Linked DNA regions of Xenopus tropicalis. The protein of the gene in region 1 purifies or fractionates together with the protein of each later gene. This does not show direct contact. Links are inferred from orthologs where the notes say so. Each region holds a gene or a part of one and is shown on either strand. Other genes may lie near its edges. The genes, in order: rapgef2 and magi1.

What was found.
Region 2: the proteins of rapgef2 (region 1) and magi1 purify together in Homo sapiens (co-immunoprecipitation; 3 studies listed by BioGRID and IntAct, with this or other methods). This does not show direct contact. The link is inferred for Xenopus tropicalis from reciprocal best matches to the Homo sapiens genes RAPGEF2 and MAGI1.

What each region holds. Positions count from the first base shown.
Region 1 is NC_030677.2:52,811,037-52,818,437, reverse strand, and holds the start of rapgef2 (rap guanine nucleotide exchange factor 2), read left to right. Parts: upstream 1-2,608; 5' UTR 2,609-2,971; coding exon 2,972-3,040; intron 3,041-7,401. UniProt on the Homo sapiens protein: Functions as a guanine nucleotide exchange factor (GEF), which activates Rap and Ras family of small GTPases by exchanging bound GDP for free GTP in a cAMP-dependent manner.
Region 2 is NC_030680.2:143,758,618-143,766,028, reverse strand, and holds the start of magi1 (membrane-associated guanylate kinase, WW and PDZ domain-containing protein 1), read right to left. Parts: upstream 4,855-7,411; 5' UTR 4,579-4,854; coding exon 4,281-4,578; intron 1-4,280. UniProt on the Homo sapiens protein: Plays a role in coupling actin fibers to cell junctions in endothelial cells, via its interaction with AMOTL2 and CDH5. May regulate acid-induced ASIC3 currents by modulating its expression at the cell surface.

The DNA.
Region 1 (7,401 bases):
GGCATAGTAGTTATGCATGGGAGCCCCTAGCGAGCCCTACAAAAGTGTTCACCTGGTAAAAGCCACAAGGCCTTTGACAAAGAGCTATTAACCTATATCAGAATGAAAAAAACACATTTTTTGCAAGCTCATTCAGTTAGGCTTATACAGAAATTTGGACTTTCAAAAATGTCTAAATAAACACAAAAGTTAGGATGCTGTGTGAAATATAAAAAAAACAAGAATGGGATAATTTGCAAATCATTTAAACTCACTTGCACATATTACAAATACAATATATCCAATGTTGAAACTAAGAAATGTTATTGTTTTCAGAAAAATATCTGCTTATTTTGAATTTGATGCCCGCAACAGGTTCCAAAAAGTTGGGCATAGGCCATGTTTCTCACTGTGTTACATCTTTTCTTCTTTTAACAACACTCTGTAACACTTTGGAAAATGAGGAGAACAATTTCTGTAGTTTTTGAGAGTGAAATGTTGTCCCATTCTTGATTGAAATAGGATTTCACCTGCTCAGCAGTTTGGTCTCTCTGTTGTCATTTTCTTAGTTTCATAATGCGCCAAATGTTTTCAATGGGTGACAGGTCTGGGCTGCAGACAGGGGACCACTTTAGCACCGAACTTTTTTAATACAGGACCATGCTGTTGTAACACGTTATGTTGTTTTGCTGAAATAAGCAAGGCCTTCCCTGATAATGGCTTTTCCTGGATGGCAGAATATGTTGCGCTAAAACCTGCATGTATTGCTCAGCATTAATGGTGCCTTTCCCTGTGTGCAAGCTGTACTATGTGCACTAGTGCACCCCAATAGCATCACCGATAGTGGATTTTGAACTGTGTGCTGATAACAAGCTGGATGGTCATTCTCCACTTTAGCCGAGAGGACATGGCAACCACGATTTCCAAAAAGAATTTCAAATTTTGATTCGTCAGACCAAAGAACGGTTTTCCTCAGTCCATGTTAAATGAGCTTTGGCCAAGAGAAATACACAATGTTTCTGGATCATGTTTATAAATTATAATTATTAACATGTATTTATAAAGTACCAACATATTCCTTATAATAATATGTTTTCTTGTTGCATGGTAGAGTTTTAACCTTTTGTTTTTGGAAGTATTTCTGAGCCCAGGCACTGATTTCCACTACAGAATTGCAATGCTGCCTGAGGGCCTAAACATCACACCCATCCAATATTGGATTTGAGCCTTGTCCCTCGGGTAAATTGATTTCTCTAAATCTTTAAATCATAGTAGGTACTGTAGATAATAAATCCCAAAATTCTTTGCAAGATTATATTGAGGAACGCTTTTCTTATAATGTTGCAGTATTTGCCAGCACAGTGTATCAAAGTATACTTTAAATGTCCCTTTAAGTGTGTGCCCCATGCACAAGGGCCATGTAAGTGACACAAGTTCTGCAGCTGCAGTTCCTTTATAAATAAGCCTCTCTCACTGGCATATCAACATGGGGTAAAATAACTCCCCTTGAAACTGAGGCATAGCAGCTGGGCATCATTCTGCCATGAGCATGTAACTAAAGTGTACCAAGCGCTGACAGTGACCTGAAGACCTGTATCCTGTATACTTTATAACATATGGCTGCTTTTTGTTGTAAAGTTTTGGCCCTCAAGACACTGGTTTAGGACAGACAATCTCCATCTATTACCGAATAGCTATTGAGGTGAGATTTAGGTATGAAGGCTGCTTTATATGCAGTGTTAGACTGGCCCACCAGTATACCAGGAAACCTCCCGGTGGGCCCAGGTGTCAGTGGGCCCTCCTGCTCTTGACCATTTGGCCTGTTTCATGGTTTTTCCCTATTTTTGAATGGGAAGAAAGAGTAGAAATAGATGGAAGAATAGATGCTAGCATGTAAATTAAAGAGACTAGGAGAATAAAGAGGTTGGGTGAGGAAAGGAGGAAAAATAGTTTGGAGAGTGAAGCTAGGGTCCAAGGTTTTCACGTGGGCCCCTGGGGTCCCAGTCCCATACTGTTTATATGAAATGGCTGCCAAAAGTCTGACATGGGTTGTTTATATCCCAGGTAATGTCTCTGCTTTACTAATAGCATTTACACTGCCTGCTCTCACTATGAAATGCATTGTTATACCTATGACCATTAATCGTGTCATAAATGTTGTGTGGCACATTATGCCCATTACAGTGCAATTCCCATGTGTGTCACGGTAAAGAGTTGCTAGAAATGGTTTTATAATGGGTTTATGTCCTTTAGGAACCATACAAACCCATCAAAACGACACATAAGCCACTCGCACTTACATATTGTAGTAATGCAGGCTACATGGAACATGGTTAACATGTAATACATAATAGCTGCGGCCCCGTGTATATGCTTCAAGCTGCCCAATTCCCACGCAACAGAATAAATAAAGCACCGTGTCTGTGTGTGTGTGTGTGTGTGTGGGAGGGGGGGGTCTCCAGCAGCAAATTTCCTATAAATGAGATAAGAAAAGCCTAAAATAAAGAGCAGACGGGCCCAGACAGCCGCCAGGGGGAAGCAGAGAGCTGGCGAGAATCAGTGCAAGGAGTACAGGAAGGGGAAGGAGGAGGAGGAGGGTGCAGACCTCTTACTTCCACACCCTCTTCCTGCCCTGTGATGCTGCTGCTGCTGCCGCCGCTAGTGTGTGCCCCTCTCACCATGGCTGCAGCACTAAGTGTGAGTCCCCTGTGTGGGTACCTGGGGGCTGCCGCCCTCTGCCCGACACATAAGTGACAGCTTCGGATTTGCCTTTTTCCTTTGTTGGCTCTGGATTTACTTTTGTGGGCACAGAGAGAGCGCTGGGAAGCGACGTGGGGTTAATGTTGCCCGGAGTACCCCTGGCTCGTACTTTGTGTCGCTGGGAGGAGTGAGAGTTTCTGCACTGAGCATCCGAACAAGGCGGAGCACGGCTGGCCTTCAGCCTCCCAAGGGGGGGCACCATCCTCCTGCTAAACATCGGCGGAGCGCAACCATGGCGTCCTATGTGGATAACAGTTTCAGGCAGGCTGTGATGAAGCCCCCGGCTGACAGAAGCGCACAGGTATGGGCACAGACTGGGTGATGGTGTGTGAGAAGCTTGGCACCATGGGAAGTTTCCTGCCCCAGTGCCACTGAGTAGCTACTAAAGTACCCTTAGGCCTGTCTACTAGGTTTCTGTCTATAGGGATTGGATGGGTCAGTTCACACTGAGCTGTTAAATCTGCTTTGAAGAGTGAGACAAAGTTGCAGCAACTTATGTTTAGTTTGAGTAGTTCAGACATCACTTTTCTTCATCTGCAGCAAATGTCTGGAAAGCAGTGCAAATGCTATAGTTTCCTTACCAGCAATGACACCCAGTTCATTCATTTAAGCAGTACATAAAAACCCAGTTGCAGTGATCAGGGAATCTCCTTTTATTGCGTTGGTGTTGGTTTGGCACATGGGGACCCTTGTAGTATGTAAAGGTATTCAAGCAGGGTGTGGAGTTTCGCTGTGTGTTGACAGTTCGGGAAATGAGTAGGGCCACTGCACTTAGAGCAAAGACACATGGAGCTACTTGGTAGCAGCTACTTGTCACGGCTACTAACCACCAGAAAATACCCTGCCATAGACCATACTGAGAACTGCCTCTGCTAAAACACGTAAATCATCAGTAAATGTTTAGCTTTGTCTATTTTTGTAGCCGTGGTAAGTAGCTGCTACTAACATATAAAAGCATCGTCTGATACGGTCATGTGATACAGGGAATTGTAGTTCAGTAGCAGTTTCAGGGCAACCAGTTGGGCATGCTCCCTTTCTGAATGGAAAGTATGTCATTTGCAACTACTATTGCAAAGGGGAACTAGTGAAACACTTTCTTTGTGGCTGCCCCTGACAACAAAGATAGAACAGGGAATGGGCTTGCATTCACAGCAACAAAGCTGAACAAGCGAAATATAATAAATAAATTACCCTCTTCTCTTTCATTATGTGACCCACAATTGTTAATGTTACAGATTTTATTAGCTTTTATCTAATTATATAGCCCTAACTAACTTCTTGGCGCTGTAGCTATGATAATAGGTAATGTGCTGTGTTTCCCTTTATTGTTTTTTGCTTTAGCCAGTGCCTCACTACTTTTATGAACTAGTACTCCAGGAGGTCTAGCAGGGAATTCTGGTAGTTGTAGTCCAACCACAGCTAGATAATTAACACACACCCACCCTGCTAAATGGCTTGTGCCTGAATATTTAGAGAGTTCTGGGTAGAAGTTGAAGTCCATAATGTGCGGAACATAATTCAGGATGACTGTTTCCCAATAAATTGGACAATATTTTCAAAACCTGGTTTATACATTCATTTTACAGTCTGTTCCTGCCAGCTTGTGGATTTACTAGTGCTTGTGCTACAGAAAGCATGGTGTAGTCTTGCCCTCACCTCATTAACGCTACTCTCCTCCCTGAAGGAGTAACACTATGGCATAAATAATGCAGGGTGCCAGCGCTGGCACTTCCAGCAGGCTTCATGGCTAGATTTCACATGACATCACTTGTCACAAGGTTGCTTGTTGTATGCATTTCTCTGGGCTGCATGTAATCTGATTCCAATGACAGCATTCTCTCTGCCTTGTCAAGCTGGAATTTAAAGAAAGAAAAAAAAAAAATCCTTGTTAGGGGCCGGTGTAATTGGTCACACACCTCTTAGGCGAAACAAAAACTTTTTTCATGACCTTAAGGTTTATCTGTTAATGGTGAATTGTTGCTTTGAGCCCTTTTAAAAGCAAAATGTCTGTGTCAGAGACTGTATACAGTGTATAATACAAAGGTTAATATTTTATCTAGTACAAGCTGGTGTGATGCAGTAATACATATAGTGTGCTGATGTGGTAACAGGAACTGTATCCTGAAGGTCAGGTCTGCAAGTGTAACTTAGTCCCCTGATGTGACCCTGTGTATAGTAGCTGGTTCTAAGGAACACGCTTTGGTACAATGTTGAGCAGCTTAGAGTAAAGGCAATAGGCTTCCAGCAGGTCTCTGCTAAACAGTAACTTGCCAAGGGAACTAGAAGTCCTGTTTCACTCCTGTTGGACTTTGCTATCCATGGGCATAAGGGATTTAGTCATTTAAATAAATTGCTCCTATGTATACAGGAAATATTCTCTAATGCTGAGTAACAGCAGATGAATTAAGCTTTATATTTACCTTTTGTAAAGTGTATATGTTTACTGCTTGAACGTTTGAAGTGGACTTCCTTGTGTCATATTGGTTTCCTTCCCGTTTTAGTTTATCATATGATTTCTTAAGATTCAGGTTTAGTGCAGTAGCTACTCTCACAGCTGGCTCAATCCTCATTTATCTAAAGCTTGTCCATTTTTAAGCTTGTCCGAAATTGGAAAAATCCACCCATTTGGCAAAGGCAATATCCTTCTCACCACAGTGGTAAATGCAGGGTGGGGTTTTTAAACCTGCCCAATTAATATGTGACTGGGTTTTGGCCCCATACACCAGCAGATCAGCTGCTGACTAGTTCTAAAGGGAATGAATTGGCAGCTTAAATCTCCCCCTGTATGGCCACCTTAAGATTACTGTTCAATGGAGAGTAATGTAATATTTAAAAAAAAAAAAACAAAAAGACATGAATACATTAAAAACAAATCTGCTATGTAATAGAAAATGAAATCCATATCTATTTATGTGACAGTAAATGGGAAACTTCTTGTCTGATGCCTTCTCTCCTTCAGTCTCTTTGCTTCAGGGCACCTTTACCTTGTAGGTGCTGAATAAGGCGTGGTGGCTTTGTGCTTCTAATCCTTTCCTTAGGACACATTGCCAGTATATGATCTCAGGATATTCTCTCAAGGGCTCAGCAGGAGTAACCAAATGGATGGGTGAATCTGACAGGTCCACTTGTGCTTCTGCTGCATGTGGATATTCTGAGAACAGGCACTGTTTTGAGGGGGTAGGGGAGAGGGAGGACAGGTTTGGAAACGACCAACTGAGTATGACTGTTTCAGTGTCAGAGATGGCAGTACACATCTTGATTCCTTAATTTTACTATTACCTTATTATAGTTATGATATTCTGTGCAATAAAGTAACAGCTGCTCATTTACAGAAAGGTATAGTGGCAGGAAGCACATTGTGACCCCACTCACAGCTGCCTGGGGTACACCAGAAATGTACCAAGCAAAGTGTTGTGCCCATCCATCTACTGCCTTCCTAATCACTGTGGGAGGAAAGGCAGTTATGTAGTCAAACTCCCAGTTAATTATTCTACATAACAAACCTCTATTCATTATATGACTACACTGGCAACCCAGAGGTGGGAAGAGGAGCTCATTCTAATGAGCTGTTATATTATTGCACTGGGAGCTAGAGTGCCAAAAAATCTTTTTACTACAGAGCATCTGCTGATTCTGTGAGATAAATAACCCATGTTCTGTATTTGATTGAATCACCAAACCAACGTTTTCATGCAGAAAGACTATTCGGAATATGTTTTTGTTATGTTATGTTCAAACCTAGTTTATTTGGCACAATAAACATTCATGGTAATTTTTAGAATTCACAACCTTAGTTTTTTAGTGAGGACACAAGAACATATGTTTTTCAGCAATATATACTGTTTTCCTGCCTATAAAAATGTGCTGCATTTACCCCTTTTAGTCAGATGACAGCTCTTCAGATATTGTTTTTTATGACTTCCCGGTAATCGTTGACTTGATTTATTGGTCGTCCTTTAGTGAGGTCTGACTGTAACAGTCTGTTTTATTTGTTGGTACTTTATTTTTGGAAATGTTCCTGCAGACTCTACTTTAGTTCCTATATAAAATATTAAATACTCACTTTGTTTAAACCCCTTCCCCCCTTATTTATTTAATTTTACTGATTCTTTATTTGAATGATCCATTCAGTAGATTGTGGCAAGTAGTAGCAGCTGTTTTTTACTACAGGGTTTAGGAACAAGAGTGCAATTAATTGATTTCTTAAATACTGTATGTGGGTGTTTCAGAAGGAGACAGCCTTTTTTCCCCATAATCATAGCCTTTACTTTCATAAGCTGCACTGCTTTAAATAAGATTATCAGCAATATGTCTGCGCATAATTCCCTGGATTTATATAATCCTCTGTTGACCAAACATACACTGTAGAAAGAATGTATAAGGTAATTTTGTTTGCATTTCTGTAATATCTGCATGCCACTCTGTAAAGTTGGTTGGTGTTACTTATTTATTTATTTATTAACTCTGTGTAATAAAATAGAACAAGACTGAGATGCTGAAGTGCTGTTCCTAAATAATACATTAAGGTCTGTATGTCAAGGCGTTGGTTTGTATGGCCAGGAGTATTTACCCATGATTGATATTTTGTATGTTTTTTTGGCCATTCCTTGTGTCTCTTTACTGTTTCTCCAGCCAGCAGAACTTGAGGGTGTATTTATTATT
Region 2 (7,411 bases), on another chromosome or scaffold:
CAGAGCCCCTGGTTCCTATAAAGCTACAGGGTACAAAAGCATTCCCGACAAGTCCAATCAGCACAATAATTTCCCCATGCACAAACCCAGGTCCATACAGAATGGGTTGCTGAGATGGAGATGTGTGGAAGAACGTGACTGGCCTACATAGAGCGCTGACCTCAACCTATTTAAACCCCAGTGGGATGAATTACAACATCGTTTTGAGCAAGTCCCATTCTCCCAACATCTGTGCCCAACCTCTTTTATGCATATCAATTGCAGCACATCCAACCCAGGGTTGCTACCTGTCCAGTTTTAATAGGAGCTGTGAGGTTCAAAACTGCCTGCCCAGTTTTCCAAAGAAGGAAATCCATACAGGATTCTCCTTGTGTCATCAGACCCATCCCTGAGGTCACAAGTCCCACTACTGTGACATCACCACCCGATCCCCGTGACAACACCGCCTATGCCTTAGCAATGCATATGCCTTCCCACTGGCAATTCACACTATTGCCAGTGGGAAGACATATCAGGGAGATCAGTTGTTTGCAGTAGCAAAGACTTATCACGGGCGACAAATCTCCCCATGGGCCATAAGCCTAAAGGTGGCAACCCTAACCAAACCAACCCAACCCCAAGCTCAAAGATCTATTGGAAAGCCTTCCTAGAATAGTAGAGGCTGTTCTAGCAGCAAAATGAAGACCTTCTTCATAAGCCTAAAGGTGGCAACCCTAACTAACCCAACCCCAAACTCAAACATCTATTGGAAAGCCTTCCTAGAAGAGTAGAGGCCGTTCTAGCAGCAAAATGAGGACCTACTTCATATTAGTACCCTTGGTTTTAGGAATGAGAAGTTGGTCAGGCAAGTGTCCAAATACTTTGGCTATATAGTTTACTATTGAATAAACCAAATAAAATTAGCAAACTCAGTACATGTCATTCATGTCAGTCATTTAATGCCCACCTACTGACAGTTAAACACTATTCCCATACAGGTGAATGCTGGAGTTGCCATAACAGGAGCACAGGTAACCGCAATACAAACACAAACAGACACATTTTGGGGCACAATGAGCAGTCGCAGGGGGTTTGTCCATCTGATTTTTTCCCCCCCAGCCTCCAGTCTTCGTTCCCAGCAGTCAGAAGGTGTCGGAAAGCACTCGGATGGAGCGCAGCTGCACTGGGAAGCAAGAAGGACTTGTGACCCTTTCACACTCTACTTGGTTTTGTTTGTACAGCGGATCCATATTAATTCTTTGGAACCAGAGAGGGAGAGACGTTTGGGGTCACTGACCCTTCCCTATCGCACACCCAGCACTTTGTTTACTTAACCCAAGAGCCAATAATCACAAGCCAACCAAAAAGATTGTTTATTGTCAAGCGACCCATACCCCATAAAACTCAGGAAAGCAAATTTATAAAGGGGAACTAAAGGTTCATATTATTACGCCTTTGTTACTTTTCAATTTCATTTGTTTACACAAGCTTTAACAGCCCTATTATTCTGAATTCTATGTATAATAACGCTGTCACCGGCAGTTTCTATTGAAACAAATGGCAGGACGTTGGGACAAGCACCCAAACTGGGCCCTATGTTCACTGACATCAGGTGGGTACAGGGGCTACTACAGAGGGTGGGCTTCCAAGATTCCATTGGCCGTGAAGTGGGTGGGCTTTGCAAGTAGTGGGTGGGCCTTGCAAGTAGTGGGTGGTGCCTATTAGGGCTACAAAATACTTGTTGCAAGGGTCCAGGTAACAGGTGAAGTAATAACTGCCTCCCCCAGGGGGGGGGGGGAAGAGCCCTCCTTTTACAGTAATATAGGGTCCCATGATTACTGATCGTGGCTCTGCATAAGCCTAAAGGCAATAGTCAACGGGCCGATTAGTAGCCGGCGACCGCTGGCAACTAATCTGAAACCAGAAATGCCTGCAATTCACTTTATTTCATGTGGAAAGGCATCTCTGGCAGATTAGTCGCCTGTGGTAGCCAAGATTTAACCAGGGGCTACTAATCTCCATGTGGGCCATCACCCTAAGGGTGAAGACACACGGAGCTACTAGTAGCAGCTACTTGTCACGGCTACTAAAATAGACAATGCTGAACATTTATTGATAACTGTTTCTACGTGTATTTTACCAGAGGCAATTCTCAGTATTGTCTATGGGAGTATATTTTCTGGAGTTTAGTAGCTGCGAAAAAGTAGCTGCTACTAGTAGCTCTGTGTGTCTTCACCCTAAAAGATTGGGGTTTTTCTCTTACCTCTTGCACTCTCATAACTAGCTTAAACCTCCAAAAGCAGCAGTGCCGTGAAGCAAAACAAACCTTTCAGATAAAGTATTTGATCCTCATTTATAACCCAGTCTGTATCTACTGTAGAATCTCTGCCATAAAGCAAAACAAAACTGCTGGTTTTTTTCCCAGGCAGGTTATGGAAACAATAGCCACGGAGAAACACGTCACTGTGCCAAAGTCACAAAAACTTTTTCTTTTGAATATTACATAATTCTGCGTATTGTTTCCAGGTATGTGCCGACACCTTTGAAGCCCTTTAGCATTTAATGAGGCCTTTCATACAGTCGGGCTAATGGTAAAGCCAGTGACTCCATTCTCACAGATCAGAAAGCCAAGGTGCGCTTAGTGTGTCACGTCTAGAACACAAATATTGACACAGGAATGTTTTCCACCACGCTAATGCGAGCACAATACGACCCAACATTTATATATAAGCAACGCGCGCAATAAACCGAATCACATGGGGCTGCTGGGCGAATGAATGCAGGCGTGAATGTGAATATGAACAATATCCAAATGCATTGATTGGCTTCAGAACACTAGTTCTCACTAAAATAACAGGAAAAAAGGTAATTTTATAAATAGCAGGTTTTACTGGAAATATCAGCAATGATAAATCTAAGGGAGATTCCCCAAACGCATTCCACTATATTCCAGCGGAACGACTTCTACGCTACATTATTCATAGAGTGCGCCGAGTGCCTTATTGCCCCCGAGGTGATACATTGTATCCGTGTGTATAAGCAAACACGAGGCTGTTACCAGGATCTAATACAAGGGTACAGGGTAGGAATGTTATTATCCAGTGGCCGGGGGGGCAAATTTAATTCCAATAGCCGACCGGCTAACTGGGCAGAACTTGATGATATACAGGACCTTATCAGCACACAGAGTGCCATGTTCTGCAAATAGTACTCCTGCCCACGGTCAGGGGGGGTTGGAATAGAATGGAAATATAACCTGATAATACCGATAGGGGGACGTCCAACTACAAATCCCATCAGCCACTGAGGCTTCAGGTGTTAGTGGGAGTTATGACAGCTGGAGGGCCACAGGGTCTGACTAGGGTCCCTGAACTCCTTCCTATGTAAACAAAATAGTGCGTGTGTATATCACCATGACAAACACGTACGATATATCTGGTCACGTGGCCGGCTGAAGGCAAGAGGGTGGCTAGTGGAAGAGAAAGTACAAGCACATTGATAGTGACTAGCTGACGGTCTCTAACGTAAACATGTTGTTGGCCAGCAGGCCGCCAGTTAATGAGTGAATGGCCAACTGATAAGGAGTTTGCGGCCTAAAGAAGATGGGTTAGTGGCCAGTTTGTCAAGTGATTATTTAACAACCAGGTGACCAGCTAACAGCTAGGCAGCAAGTAGCCAGGAGGCTATCACTAAGCTAGTAAGAGGCCACTTGATGACTAGTTGCCAGGACACAAATGACAAGCTCATGTAAACAATGTGTGATTAGGTAAGTAATGACTATGTAATAACAACTGCTAATTATATAGTGATAAATTAATACTTATTGACGTGACAAGCCAGATGGTCAGTTGCTGGCCAGCCAAGTAATAAGGTGACCAATGGAACAGCGAGTTAGCAGGTGGCTCTGGCCGATGAAAAGCGACCCAGGGACTAGTGTGCAGTTGGGGGATAGGTAGCCAGAAACTGGCAAAAGGCTAGGAGACCAATTGGTGGCTAGGAGACCAATTGGTGGCTAAGTGACCAGGCAATGGCCACATAGTGACCAGTCAATTGCCACATAGGGCGCAGGTTGCCAACTGAGCAGGTGAAAGAAGTAGCCCAACAGCTAAACAGGTAGCCCAACAGCTAAACACGTAGCCCAACAGCTAAACAGGTAGCCCAGTGACCAGCTAAACAGGTAGCCCAGTGACCAGCTAAACAGGTAGCCCAGTGACCAGCTAAACAGGTAGCCCAGTGACCAGCTAAACAGGTAGCCCAGTGACCAGCTAACCAGGTGACCCCTAGTGGCCCCTCCCCCTTACCTTGTCTGACAGCAGTGATGGGGACAGGCTGCTTGCTGTTCCGGACCAGTTCCAGTACATCGTATCGCGGTAATCCAGAGACGGGCACCCCGGCCACCTCCAGCAGTAACTCCCCCTCGGCCAGCTCGCCATCGCTGCACCTCAGCCCCTCAGCCGCCCCCCCCAGGTACAGGAACTCCCCATCCTCCGCGCCCCCCAGCACCGGCAGCCCCGGCTCCCCCGGCTCCCCCACACAGCTCACAGCGCAGCGGTGCACTCGGCTGCTCCAGTGGTTCTTCTTCTGAATGACTTTGGCCATGCTGAGCCCCCGGCAGCCCCCCGGCTGCACTCACACTGCCGCCCCCCGGTCACATTCAAGCCATCCCAAGGCAAACTTTGTATCCCGGCAGCCCCCGCCTTTATCCTCTCATACTGAGCCCACAAAGTTTCCCTCTGGCCGGGAAGGAGGCAGCCGGGAAGGGGGCAGCGCCGGCCGCTTCCTGCTCTCACTTCCTCACTCTCCGGGAGACACTGATACAAAGTATCCGCTCTCTTCCCATTCCATCCCGGGCAGGGCAGCCTCCGAGCCGAGCCGCGCCGCGCATGCGCAACACTCACCTTCCCTCCCCTCCAGCGCTCAGTAAGAATCCCAACCTGTGGCTCTGGCTGGGCAGGAACTGCAACTCCCAGGATCCCCTTACGGCCAGCTCTGGGCGGAGCAGGAAAGCTACTCATTATAGCGCACCTTAATCTATTTTGGGGGTTGGTAATTTCTTCTGATTGACAAAGAACAGCAAAGAGAAACCTTAACTCTGGGATATGCGGTCCCCAGCCTTCCAGCTACTGAACTACAACTCCCACTTCGGCTTTAAATAGAGCTCAGTCACAGATTATAATTTCCAGACATAGAGCAGCAGCTTGTTGTTTTCTTGTGATTTAAGTTGGACTGGGGCTGTGGGATAGCAGGTATAGTAGGGAGAGATGGTGCCTATAGTAGCAATGGGGGGATAATAGCCTCTGGGAAGGGACTGGGGCTGTGGGATAGCAGGTATAGTAGGGAGAGATGGTGCCTATAGTAGCAGTGGGATAATAGCCTCTGGGAAGGGACTGGGGCTGTGGGATAGCAGGTATAGTAGGGAGAGACGGTGCCTATAGTAGCAGTGGGGGGATAATAGCCTCTGGGAAGGGACTGGGGCTGTGGGATAGCAGGTATAGTAGGGAGAGATGGTGCCTAAAGTAGCAGTGGGGGGATAATAGCCTCTGGGAAGGGACTGGGGCTGTGGGATAGCAGGTATAGTAGGGAGAGATGGTGCCTATAGTAGCAGTGGGGGGATAATAGCCTCTGGGAAGGGACTGGGGCTGTGGGATAGCAGGTATAGTAGGGAGAGATGGTGCCTATAGTAGCAGTGGGGGGATAATAGCCTCTGGGAAGGGACTGGGGGCTGTGGGATAGCAGGTATAGTAGGGAGAGATGGTGCCTATAGTAGCAGTGGGGGGATAATAGCCTCTGGGAAGGGACTGGGGCTGTGGGATAGCAGGTATAGTAGGGAGAGATGGTGCCTATAGTAGCAGTGGGGGGATAATAGCCTCTGGGAAGGGACTGGGGCTGTGGGATAGCAGGTATAGTAGGGAGAGATGGTGCCTATAGTAGCAGTGGGGGGATAATAGCCTCTGGGAAGGGACTGGGGCTGTGGGATAGCAGGTATAGTAGGGAGAGATGGTGCCTATAGTAGCAGTGGGGGGATAATAGCCTCTGGGAAGGGACTGGGGGCTGTGGGATAGCAGGTATAGTAGGGAGAGATGGTGCCTATAGTAGCAGTGGGGGGATAATAGCCTCTGGGAAGGGACTGGGGCTGTGGGATAGCAGGTATAGTAGGGAGAGATGGTGCCTATAGTAGCAGTGGGGGGATAATAGCCTCTGGGAAGGGACTGGGGCTGTGGGATAGCAGGTATAGTAGGGAGAGATGGTGCCTATAGTAGCAGTGGGGGGATAATAGCCTCTGGGAAGGGACTGGGGCTGTGGGATAGCAGGTATAGTAGGGAGAGATGGTGCCTATAGTAGCAGTGGGGGGATACTAGCCTCTGGGAAGGGACTGGGGCTATGGGATAGCAGGTATAGTAGGGAGAGATGGTGCCTATAGTAGCAGTGGGGGGATAATAGCCTCTGGGAAGGGACTGGGGCTGTGGGATAGCAGGTATAGTAGGGAGAGATGGTGCCTATAGTAGCAGTGGGGGGATAATAGCCTCTGGGAAGGGACTGGGGCTGTGGGATAGCAGGTATAGTAGGGAGAGATGGTGCCTATAGTAGCAGTGGGGGGATAATAGCCTCTGGGAAGGGACTGGGGCTGTGGGATAGCAGGTATAGTAGGGAGAGATGGTGCCTATAGTAGCAGTGGGATAATAGCCTCTGGGAAGGGACTGGGGCTGTGGGATAGCAGGTATAGTAGGGAGAGATGGTGCCTATAGTAGCAGTGGGATAATAGCCTCTGGGAAGGGACTGGGGCTGTGGGATAGCAGGTATAGTAGGGAGAGATGGTGCCTATAGTAGCAGTGGGGGGATAATAGCCTCTGGGAAGGGACTGGGGCTGTGGGATAGCAGGTATAGTAGGGAGAGATGGTGCCTATAGTAGCAGTGGGGGATAATAGCCTCTGGGAAGGGACTGGGGCTGTGGGATAGCAGGTATAGTAGGGAGAGATGGTGCCTATAGTAGCAGTGGGGGGATAATAGCCTCTGGGAAGGGACTGGGGCTGTGGGATAGCAGGTATAGTAGGGAGAGATGGTGCCTATAGTAGCAGTGGCGGATAATAGCCTCTGGGAAGGGACTGGGGCTGTGGGATAGCAGGTATAGTAGGGAGAGATGGTGCCTATAGTAGCAGTGGGGGGATAATAGCCTCTGGGAAGGGACTGGGGCTGTGGGATAGCAGGTATAGTAGGGAGAGATGGTGCCTATAGTAGCAGTGGGGGGATAATAGCCTCTGGGAAGGGACTGTGGCTGTGGGATAGCAGGTATAGTAGGGAGAGATGGTGCCTATAGTAGCAGTGGGGGGATAATAGCCTCTGGGAAGGGACTGGGGCTGTGGTATAAGAGGTGAAGCAGTTGGGATAGTAGCAGGTTACACTATTACACTTTATATCAGTATATCAAGCCCCC